3 linked regions of the Canis lupus familiaris genome follow. The protein of the gene in region 3 interacts with the protein of the main gene of each other region in a biochemical or structural test. Links are inferred from orthologs where the notes say so. Each region holds a gene or a part of one and is shown on either strand. Other genes may lie near its edges.

Region 1 (4,090 bases), on a different chromosome or scaffold from region 3:
CAGAGCCGGAACGCCCCCGCGAGAATCTGTACCCCGAAGCCAGAAGCACCGTCTGCCTGTAAAACGCGCGGGCTCAGGGAGCGGGGAGGACCCGGGCGCAGCGGCGCCGCAGCCTGCAGGAGCACAAGCCCGGCCGCGCGTCCTGCAGCCCGAAACCTTAGGGGCAGACCACCAGGACCCCGCCGTTCCCATACGCCCCAACGCAGCCCGGCGCCTCGATACTCACACTCACAGCCGACCCCTCTTACTCCATCGGGCCGCCAAGGTCCCAGCGAGGGAGGTCCCCTAGGCCCCTCTCAGTTTTGGGTCCGGCGGCCCACTCCGGGCCCCCTCCCCCCCGGGCACCACCGCCGCCGCCGCCGCCGCCGCCGCCGCCGCCAGCGCGCAGGCGCACACCGCCGCCGTCACGCTCCTTTTTTTTTTTTTTTTTTTCCTCTTTGCAGTCCGCCTTTCTCAATAATCTAGCTTTATTTGAACACACAAGAGTGAACAACGGACACAGGGTAAAGAGACTTTACTGGAAAAGAAAGATCAAAGGCAGGTCGGCTTGCAGAAGTTACTCTGCAGCCCTGAACGCACCTGTGACCAGCCTCCTTAGTTCTTTTTTCATTCGTTTTGCTCTTTCTGGGCCTCCCTGTTGCTTCTACTCTCTTCCTAAATCACCAGCATTCCCTTTATGCAGTGGCAATTGTTTAAGCTAAATTTCCAACCACTCCTGCCTTGTAAAACCTACTGATGTTTAATGGAAGGTCTAAGAGCTTGAGGACAGACAGATATGAGTTCAAATCTTGACCTAGCTTCTACTAATTTATGACTTTGGGCAAATTACAAGTTTTCTTGGAATCTCAGTTTCTGCACAGTTAAAATTGGGATAATGGTATCTCTCAGGGGGTTGCTAGGATTAAATGACATAATGCAGGTCAAGTGCCTATCTATGAATGGGTGCCTGTCATAAAGCAAAAAAAATCCATGAATACCTATGATGATATTTTTATTAATACTTACCATATTTATTTCCTTTATTAAATGTAGCCCATATTCATTCTCTCATGATCCTATTTTAGTAACTACAGCTAATCAGATAAATCAAGTTACATTAAGATTAATAATGGTGTGAAGCGTTACTCCTATATTATTGAAGTTCTAACAATGTCTGTGTTTAACAAGATCTTCAATACCTAAAACCAAAGCAAGCACCTCCCTTCAACTATGTAGAAGTCCAGATTTGTATCTAGAGGACTGAAGAACTATTCCAATTCTGTATTTGTGACATCACAAGTCCTTGAAACACTCAAGGTCTCAGGTACATGCTCATTCTACTCTCCTTCAAAAGTATGCAATGGAAGGACTACTTTACCCTAAAAGTTCAGGGCTATAGTCCAAGGAAAAGCTTGTAGAAGAGTAAGATGAGCCATTGGTGAGCATCAAGGTAATCATAGATCAGGGTTTCTTTCTTTCTTTCTTTCTTTCTTTCTTTCTTTCTTTCTTTCTTTCTTTCTTTCTTTCTTCTTTCTTTCTTTCTTTCTTTCTTTCTTTCTTTCTTTCTTTCTTTCTTCTTTCTCTTTCTTTTTTTAAAGATTTATTCTATTCATTTGAGAGAGAGACAAAGACAGAGAGCAGGGGGTGAAGGGAGGGCAGGGTGTGACAGAGGGAGAGAAGCAGACTCCTAGCTGAGTGTGGAGCCCAGTGTTTGACACCATAATCCCAAAATCACAACCTGAGGTGAAACCAAGAATAGGACACCCAACTGACTGACCCACCTGGGTACCCCTAGGTCAAGGCTTCTTAACCTTGGCACTATTGATACTTTGGAGATAACTTTTTTTAGAGGTGAAGAGGGGAAGAGGGAGAGAGAATCTTAAGCAGGCTCCAAGCCCAGCACAGAGCCCAATGTGGGGCTGGATCTCAAAACCCTGAGATCATGACCTGAGCTGAAATCAGGAATTGGACACTTAACCAACTGAGCCACCCAGGTGCTATTTGGAGATAATTCTTGTGCTGTCCTGTGCATTGTAGGGTGCTTAACAGCATCCCTGGACACTAGATGCCTATAGTATCTCCCACCTTCATGTCCTTTACATGCCTTTACGTTACATCCTTTACATCCCCCACTCCAATCCCTGTCATCTTCAAAGGCCAAGATGCCTCTGGTTGAGAACCATAGCATTATCCCAACCATAAATAAACTCAACCATACATTTTGTCCACTTCTGCCCAGAAGTGGAAGAAGTGACTGCTGCTTTAGTAAGTCACACAGGAGGTTAGAAGCTGGAGAGTTCACTTTTACCAATCTTATACAGGCCCTAGACACTGCTTAACAGTCCGACTACTTGTTCAAGATCAACTTGTTCTATCACTTCTGTAACAATATTTCAAAACTCTCCACTTGCCTTAAAACTCCTAACTCCAGGGGCACCTGGGTGGCTCAGCGGTTGAGCATCTCTGCCTTTGGCCCAGGGCATGATCCTGGAGTCCTGGGATGGAGTCCCACACTGGGCTCCCGGCATGGAACCTGCTTCTCCCTCTGCCTTTGTCTTTCCCTCTCTATCTGTGTCACTCATGAGTAAATAAATAAAATCTCAAAAAAAAAAAAAAAAAAAAAAAACCTCCCAACTTCTTTTCTATTAGATGACATCATCTCCTACTTCATAGAGAAAACAGAGGTCATCAGATGAGAACTTCTTTAACTTCCTGTTACTAAACATAAAACACCTACTTCCTCTTATAATTGAGGAGGTATCTTCTCTCTCTCCCAAAACCATTATTTCTTCTCTGAAATACTTTTTTTTTTTTTTAAATTTCCAGCATTGTGCTCTATTCTTTGAGGCGCCTAGAAGAGTTCCTGAACCTGTTTAAAAATCCTTCAATGGCTCTCTGAGGTCATAGCATAAAGTCCAGGCTCACTAGTCCAAAAGTGCAAAACCTTCCAAGATCGGACCCATTGCCGACTTGACTATTTAAAGCTTATTCTCCACTTCACCCGGAGATACACAATGAGCTGTAAGCCTCTAACTAGGATGAACTACGAGGAATTTACCGAAGGCGCTATGTTCTTAATGGCACACGCTGTTCCCACGGGTTGGAAAAAACTGTGGCCCTCCACCCCAGACTTCTGGGAGAACTACTTAGCCTTCCTGATTGAAAAGCCACTTCCTCTGGGAACCCTTCCAAACATCCCTAAGAATAAGGCTCTTCTTTCATTGTGCGCCAAGCCCGCCTCGGACGTTTCCAATGCCACGCACTGTATTCTATGCACTATCATTTGTTTCCATGTCGATCTCCAATCTAGACAGATCGAAAGGCCCCGGAAGGCAGGGAAGGCGTTCTTTTCGCCTTCTTTTCTTCCAGTAAACGGTTTACCCTTAACAAATGTTTGTTGCACTTCGGGAGGGATCCGAATTATCCGGCTAACGGGTGAGTCCCCAGGCTCCCCGCCTGCGTGGCAGGGAGATGTAAACCCCTCAGACGGTGATTGGCTCCGGCGCCAGCGGTGTCCGCGCCCGCGCGGCCGAGGCAGTGCGCATGCGCGCGGGCCAGGCGCGCGCAGGCGCCGGGAGGACGCAGGTCCAGGTCCCGTCCGGGGGGTGTCCGAGCCGCTGCCGCGCGAGAGGAGTGGCCGGAACTGCTTGGTGAGCCTTCGGGAGGGGGGTTGAGGGAGCAACTCGGTTGGAGATCGGGATCCAGTTCCCAAGAAGCAAGGGGATTCCCGTGACGGTTTAAAACTTGGTGCGGTCGGTCTAAAGGGGAGGGTGGGGGGTGCTCTGGCCCGGACTGGGCAGGTCGGGCCCGAAGCAAGGACCCGCGCTGCCAGGAAACCACCGCGGGGCCGGCGGAGGAAGGGCGGCAGGATCGTGGTTGGTTGAACCCCGCCTCAAAACCTAGCGGAGGTAAACTCCCACTCCCCCACCCCTGCAGTGTTGCTGTGGTCGGGATTAATTGTATGTGACCACAGTGATCGAATGACTCTGAGCTAGAGTTTGGAGGTGTCTGAGGTGCGTGGCATCGCAGAGTCCGTGCTCTCGAGGAAAGTCCATCCGGATTCGCGGCTTTACTGTAGACGCACGAAGGATCCCTGGAACACTGGATTTTA
Region 2 (4,253 bases), on a different chromosome or scaffold from region 3:
AGAAAATGCCAATGCACAAACAAGCAGGTACCATCAGAGGATCTACGTGAATGTTTCCTGGCACATCCTTATGTCCATCTGCTCCTGCCTCTTCTTGCCGTATTGCCCTGGATGTTTAAAATTTAAAATAGAAAATCTCTTCATTTTTTCCCGAAAAATTTAACATTCAATAACATGAATGTTAAATTCATGCTTCAATTATGTTTTTCTTTAATTTCTCAGTAAGCTGTTCTAGAATTAGCTCCGTAATTGTGCACATTGCCACTTCTTTCCAGATCTTTACCCTTTGCCAGCTTCACTGCAGTCTTCTACCTCCACCCCCCTAACCCCCATTTCCCCCAGTCTTCCACTAGCAAACAAACCCAGCAGTAATTACTAATGTCCAAGCACGTAATTCTGGCACCGTTAGGATTTTTTTTTTTTTTTTTGACGCAACTACGCAGAGCTGTCTGGACATGCAGCATGAAGTCAAAGCATTTTTAAAGACTCCTACCCATCTTTTCTCCCCTCCTCCTATCACTAAAACACAGTTGTTTATTTCGTTTGCGGATTGCAAGGTTATAAAATTCTTCCATGGAGTTACATAGCCCTGAATATTAATTTTACACCCATATACAGTAACAGATAAATATGTACTTATATGGAAACACATAGGTTATCCATAAAATTGAAAAACATTAGGAAATAAATAGCTAGGAATGAAAGTACCTCCTCTATATGGACAGGACCATTTTAGCAGCTCTAGTATAGAAATCATTGGAGTTATGACTAACAAAAACAATCCAAGATCTTAATGTGAGGCTTTTCAAAAGATCATGACAGTGTTTCTTTTAATGCGTTGCATAGATTCCTACATATGACGCTGTTACTCTTATTTAACAACTATTCAAATAGTACAGTTTTGCGCCTGGTATTTTATGACAATTTTAGTTATATCAAACAACAGGAAATATTCCTTGGTAATTTTTGTTCACTCAGAGGCCCCAAGGCTCAGAGTAGAAAATGATTAAAGTACTTATCACTGTCTCAGCAAAATCCCGCAGTGCCGTAATAGAAATTGCAGTAGATCTTTAGGTCAGAGTCCAGTTTCAGTCTAACACCTGCATGACCCTGAAGGACATAGTTGGATTTTGAGGAAAACCAGTCTTAATAATGTCCAGATCAGAAACTATCGGCCTGAGATAACCAATGTTCATAGGAAACACTTCCACTCCCTCTGAAACCATGGCAAAAGAGATTAAATCTATACCTTGTAGGACCTGTAATATTTCTGAGATGTATTTTTGTGAGTGTGTGCTTATGTACATGCCTAATTACAAGGATGGGAGAGAAGGAAGAAGAGGGCTTCATTCTTAAAGTTGATTCTGCTTAGTTTAACTATATATATATATATATATATATATATATATATATATCAAATAGAAATATATACAGAAATATATTACTCCTGTAAACAGATCATTTTGGTATCTTCATATATACCTCATTCATGCCCACCCAAGGTCTGCAGACAAATATACTCTGTGTTAAAAACAAAACCAAACAAAACCCTTGATATCTGACTGGAGGATGAAGCAGATTTTTCTTAAAAATGTGTTTACTTTCTACTTAAGAAAAAGGGACGAGGGCAACATGAGAAGTCTATAAGTAGACTTATTTCTTTTTTAAGCTATGCGGGAGCTGAGGATGGGAGCAGGTAATTGCCTGCAAAGCAGTCCTACGGCAGGATTTATTTTTTTCTTTTTTAAAATTGTTAACCTACTACGTCTTCTCTATCAGGGAGTCTCTCTGTGAGACCGAGGTCTCAGAGAGGCAATTTGGCCTCCAGCCCTGACCGGCAGCTCTGGCCAGGCAGCTCTGCGGCAGGTAGATGCGGCGAGGCTGCCGGGCCGCTCTCCGCGGTGCTGAAAGGTCGCGGGCGCCCGCGAGGGGCCTGGGCATCGCTGTCCAGGGTGCTGACTGCGGGCCGCCGCAGTCCCCGAGGCGAGCCCACCCCCGCCAGCCCTCCGCAGAGCCCTCCCACACAGCATGACCCGCCCGCCTCCCGCCAGCCTGCAGTCGACGGGGAGCAGGCGGCATAAATCAAGTCCGCGGGGCATGGAGGCTGCTGCCGCTGCTGCAGCTCGGCTTGCCCGGGGCGGGAACTCCCCCTTCTCTCGCCTCCCCAGCGCCCACGACCTGCCTTCTCCCTAATTCTTCGCTGGATAATAGCGCCTGAACGACAATAGTCAAAATAACAGGGTCAGAACGACAGAGTTTGTTTTGGTCTACCGGGGGAAAAAAAAAATCAAAAAACCAGCAGCCTAAACATCTCTGAAAACTGCATCGCAAAATGGAAGAGAGTCCCACTACTGTTTCGAAAGAGTAAGTTATTATTCGGCATGTATCCTTGCGCTTCCTCCCCATCGCTCCATCTGCAGTGTCCCCATTCCTCCCTTCCCCAGGCGGCTCACCTCGAAAATACTTTATAAAGCCCCTAGACCGGAGCTATCCCGACGCGCACACACGGCATACCGCACCCTAGGTGCACAAATACTTGTATTTGCCCACGCTCACTTGGTCTCCTCGGCTGTGGTCCCCTCTGGGTATGCAGCCATCCAAAACCAGAACCACGACCTGAGGTGGAGGCTCCTTACCTTGGCTTCTGCAGAGGGTGGTGTTCGCCTGGCCCCTCGCAGGGTGCAAGTGTGGAGGAGCCGCCAAGCCGGGAGGGAAGGAGAGACAGCGCCTGACCTCTCCGAGGTTTCGTCTTCAATGCAACGTGAGCTCTGCCCTCATCAAAGATGGCCGTCCCTTTTGACGTCAGCAGCTTTTAATAGCCCTCTCCAGGAGGGGCGGGGAGGAAGTGTGCCGCGGGGAGCGCGGGGGGAGGATGGAGGTGGGAGGTGGGCGGTGGGAGGGGCGGAGCCGAGTTGTGCGGACCGCTTGACTCAGCTCCCTGTGCGCTTTCCTGCAAACCTTTGTATTTCAGTCTTTTATAAACACCTGAATGAGGCGATTCTTATGACTCCATCTTAACACCCGGTGTCGGGCAAATACATTTATCTCGCGACTAGTTTTCTGATATTCTTTGTGTGTGTGTATGTATATATGTTATCTGTGTGTGCCTATATTGTGTCATATCTGCGACATATATGCGATTATATAGAATTTCCCCTCCCCCTGCTGAGTTGTCTTTGGTTGAGTCATAGAAGGGGAGGGGAAGGCAGAAGAGTAGAAGTGGGGGAGGTAGTCGAGGGGATTTCAGCTGCAATTCGCTTTTTCTAAGGAAGCGGCTCCGAAGGGGCATCCCTGTCAGCCCTCACCAGCTCCATATATGGCCAGGCTACGTGGGCTGCTATTTTTATGAGTGATTTCTTCATTTTATCAAAGCAGCACCCAGCGTTTAGAGTTTGCATTAATGTGGTCAGTTGGGGAGGCAGACGCGTACACGTTATTTTAAAGTACGTCAGAGCAATTATCTCTGAGAGATACAGAATGAATTGGGCGGAGGGGGAGGGAGGGGTAGTTAACCTAACCAGCGTGGGTTTCCTGGAGTTCAAGGCTTGGAGTTGAGAGTTATTTGCTGAGGGCAAACTAGATGACGCTGTTTTCGGTTAAATATGCAACCAGAACCTGGGGTTTTATGTTGGGTTTCTTAGGAATAGTTCACGGAAGCGCGCACAGACCTTATGGAACCATCCAGACTTCCAAGGGGAGTGGGGAAGGCTGAGGATTCCAGGATCTCTGGGACGCTACAGAATTTTGGTGGTTCATTCCATGTGCAAACCTGGGTACCAGTCGAGGCTAGCCGGGGTGGGGGGGGGGAGTGCTCTGATGCTTAAAACGGCGTGGGCGAGAAAGGCTACCTGTGCTGGTCATATGAGAGATTAAAAATAATAACCATAAGGGAATAATCCTAACTGTCCTCCTTTGTTGTGCATTAGGCACCGAGGGAGGGCGGGTGGTGGGCTATGCAAATGGTTGCGCGGCGGCAGCCTCTCGGATGATTCACAGGTGTTGGGGAGGCTGTCGCGGGGCTCCGCGGGGAGGGCGAGCTGGAGAGCGCGTGGGAGGTGGGGGACCTCGGCTGAGGAACTGTTTGTACTTTTCCGGGAAGGATGCGATTAGAAGTCGTGCCTCGCAATGTTAAAACTCGATGGCCTCTTTCAGGCGATGGAAAATCCTTGTCTCGGGTCCGGAAAAACAAGGCACAATCCCCAACCCTGCCAACACACACACACACACGCACACACACACGCGCGCACACACGC
Region 3 (2,875 bases):
TGCCTTTTTCTGGGCTCTGCCCTGCAGCCTCTCCCCCTGCTTCTTCTCATAACTGGCTCCTCCTCATTTAACAGCCCACTGAAATGTCACCCTTTCTGAGACAGGACTTTCCCTGTTCACTGTATCTGGAGTAACAGCCTCCATTACTCAACGGTGCCTCGTGGCCTCAGGAAGGCCGATGGATGCCCACACACACCTCACCTATGTCCCAGCCTACCAGGCCCAGCTTCACTGCTTTGGGGTTAGGTACTCACAGTAATCCTTCCCCAAGGACAATACTGAGCCAGATGTGGGTGTTAGCCCCTCCCTGCCCACCTGTTCCTAAGGGAGAGTAGAAGGGCAGTGCTAGCCTGCTGTGGTCACAGCACCTGAACAGTCTGATCTGAGTCTTCCTCGGATGGGCCTGGCCCCAAAGATGGCCACGGAAAGAGGAGGCCGCCTACGTAGAGGCCCTGGGCCAGCTCTTCTAGGAACATACATGCACGGGGCAGTCTCCAAGCTCATTTTTCTGTTTGTCTTTTTTTACTTTCTTACAAAACCATGTGTCCCAGCCAAACAGGACGCTGCAGGCCTTCCCCCAGGCATTGTGGCCTGAGTGGAGAAGCCCCCATGAATGAGTGGCTGCCAACCCCAGAAGAACTGTCTGCCCCTCTGCACAGGGCCAGTGTGAGGAAGGGGGTCCAGTTGGAGGCTCTGTCCTGCCCTCCCCCCTCAGCTGCTGGGAGAGAAGGCGGACCCGGGTCCCCGGTGTTCTTAGAGCCTGTAAGGGAAGGAGGGAGAAGAGGGTCTGAGGGGAGGAGGAAAGGCAGGGGCCCAGGACGAGGCAGGCCAGGGGGCAGGCCCACAATAGCTCACCAAGAATGTGCAATGCTCTCAAACCAATGTGGCGATACCAATGATGACTGCCAGAATGACGACAGTGACAGACACACAAATGGCGATCAAGACTTTCTTCTGTGGGAGAGTTCAGGGAAACAAACTCAGAAGGGGAGGGAAGGCAACCAGGGCCTCAGACTAGAGGGGAGGGAAGGGGTGTCAAGGCTCACCTTCCGAGCCTTCTTCTGGTTCTCCAGGGCAATCTTGACATGTTCCTGCCCGCGTTCCACATAGTCTGCTGAGCTCAGGATGTTCTTCTCAATCCGGTTGATCATCTCCCCCTGCTCAGAGGAGGGGGACAGTTCAGGCAGGTAGGGATGACTGGGGGTGGAGAGCCCATCAGCTCCTCTGCTTGCTCACACTAGCTGCCTAAAGGACATTTTCTGGCAGGAAATGCAGCACTAACAAAGGTGTGGGGGTAGGACCACATCTGACCAAAGTGCACACTCCTGAGGGTGGCTTCCAGGATCCCTTTTATTATGTAGTCCCTTCTGCCCTGCTCCCTTACCCCCTACAACCTTCATTTGCAGTGGTGGCTTGGAGCCAAGCGCCTTAAGAAGCTCATACCTTGTCACAGAGGGTGAACTTCTGTCTCTTTGTAAATCTGTCTGAATTTGCTCATTCTTCTAGGCTTGCCTCTCAACAGCTGTGAAGCCCTCCCCAACCCTGCCTCCTCATGGCACTGCCAGCCTTCAGGTCCTGGTACTCCTACTGAATGAAATGCCTTCCCCATGAATCCCAGCTGCACAAGGGCATTGGCTGCAGCACTAGAGGCCGGCAGCTTACCTCACCTCACACAACGGGGGCAGCAGAAGAACACCACCTCCCACCCCAACCTCATTCAGATCTGTGGAGGCATGCCCCCTAAGGAGCATCTTTGAGTAGAACTCTTAGAGGTATAAGGGTGGATTCTATTGGTGGAGGAGGAGCCAGAGTTGGGCTACATCCTGGGTAGCTCAACTGGGAGACAGGGTAAGATGGTGAGTGTAGAGGAGTGGCCATCTGTGTAATGTGGAGGTGGAAGCAATTCTGGGGCTCAGCTACAGATGGGAGTGAGGGCCAGCCTGGGGGCATGGCCCAGCCTGGAGGGGGATGAAAGCCTCGGGGAGAGAGGCTAGAGAGTGGAGATGGACTGACAGACACAGTGGGGTTTCTGACTGAACACGGTCTCACATCAAGCCCAGCCAGCTGTCTTGCCCACCTGCATCTCCACTTCTGTAGCCAGGAAAGTGAAAATCTCATGAAGTTCACGGATGCTGCGTTCAAGCTGCTGTATCTCACTGTGCCGGGCTGAGATCTCATTTAGGGCCTGTCGAGTCACCTGCGTGTCCTTCAGGATCTGGGGAGCAGATAGGAATGGCCAGACAGGTCACAGGGAATCCAGCAGCAGATCAGAAGTTCCTGTTGAGCTTTCAGGCAGCCCTCAGGCTTAGAACTGGGGCCAGGACCTTGATGAGCGACCCTAGGCATGCTAAGTCATTCCCTTCCAGGCCTCTGTATTCCCTCAATCAAAGGGGACCAGGCCTCAGCGAAGATGAGAGTCCCAGAAGAGGGAGGCTAGCCATGACCACTCACATTGGATACAAACACCTCGCTTTGCCCACTGTCCAGCATCTGCTCCAGCTCCTCATCAGACACCATTCCAGCATTTGCTGTGAAGGAAAAGGTCAGGCTCAGAGCTGGGTCAGGTTACCTGACCCTGTAGGCCAGACACCACAACTCACTGATCTTCAGCTGCCTCCGAATCCGCTCCACATTCTTCTCCCGGTACTCGGACTGCATCAAGTTGCACTTGTTGATGAGCTCCACGAATTGCTGGGACAGGACCCCATGCTGATGATAGAAAATATAGGCTGGGCACCCCGGAAGGATTTGGCCTTAACATCCCCATAAGTATAGGGAGCAAACAGCATAAGCTGTTCTAGGAGCCTGCTGCCTTGACCACCATTCTCTCAAGGTCAAAGCCAAAGCCTTTACTAGGGCTTATAAGGCCCTATTG

What was found.
Region 1: the proteins of STX4 (region 3) and SNAP23 form a complex in vitro, tested with the Homo sapiens proteins (4 studies listed by BioGRID). The link is inferred for Canis lupus familiaris from reciprocal best matches to the Homo sapiens genes STX4 and SNAP23.
Region 2: the proteins of STX4 (region 3) and SNAP25 form a complex in vitro, tested with the Homo sapiens proteins (3 studies listed by BioGRID). The link is inferred for Canis lupus familiaris from reciprocal best matches to the Homo sapiens genes STX4 and SNAP25.

The regions. Positions count from the first base shown.
Region 1 is NC_049251.1:9,746,622-9,750,711, forward strand, and holds the start of SNAP23 (synaptosomal-associated protein 23), read left to right. Parts: upstream 1-1,290; 5' UTR 1,291-1,429; intron 1,430-2,805; 5' UTR 2,806-3,000; intron 3,001-3,394; exon of another isoform or gene 3,395-3,414; intron 3,415-3,510; exon of another isoform or gene 3,511-3,629; intron 3,630-3,654; exon of another isoform or gene 3,655-3,887; intron 3,888-4,090. UniProt on the Homo sapiens protein: Essential component of the high affinity receptor for the general membrane fusion machinery and an important regulator of transport vesicle docking and fusion.
Region 2 is NC_049245.1:12,539,710-12,543,962, forward strand, and holds the start of SNAP25 (synaptosomal-associated protein 25), read right to left. Parts: upstream 2,801-4,253; 5' UTR 2,637-2,800; intron 2,496-2,636; exon of another isoform or gene 2,454-2,495; intron 2,365-2,453; exon of another isoform or gene 2,069-2,364; intron 1-2,068.
Region 3 is NC_049227.1:17,346,011-17,348,885, forward strand, and holds the end of STX4 (syntaxin-4), read right to left. Parts: intron 2,710-2,875; coding exon 2,601-2,709; intron 2,529-2,600; coding exon 2,452-2,528; intron 2,216-2,451; coding exon 2,078-2,215; intron 1,158-2,077; coding exon 1,047-1,157; intron 955-1,046; coding exon 874-954; 3' UTR 856-873; intron 761-855; 3' UTR 501-760; downstream 1-500. UniProt on the Homo sapiens protein: Plasma membrane t-SNARE that mediates docking of transport vesicles. Necessary for the translocation of SLC2A4 from intracellular vesicles to the plasma membrane.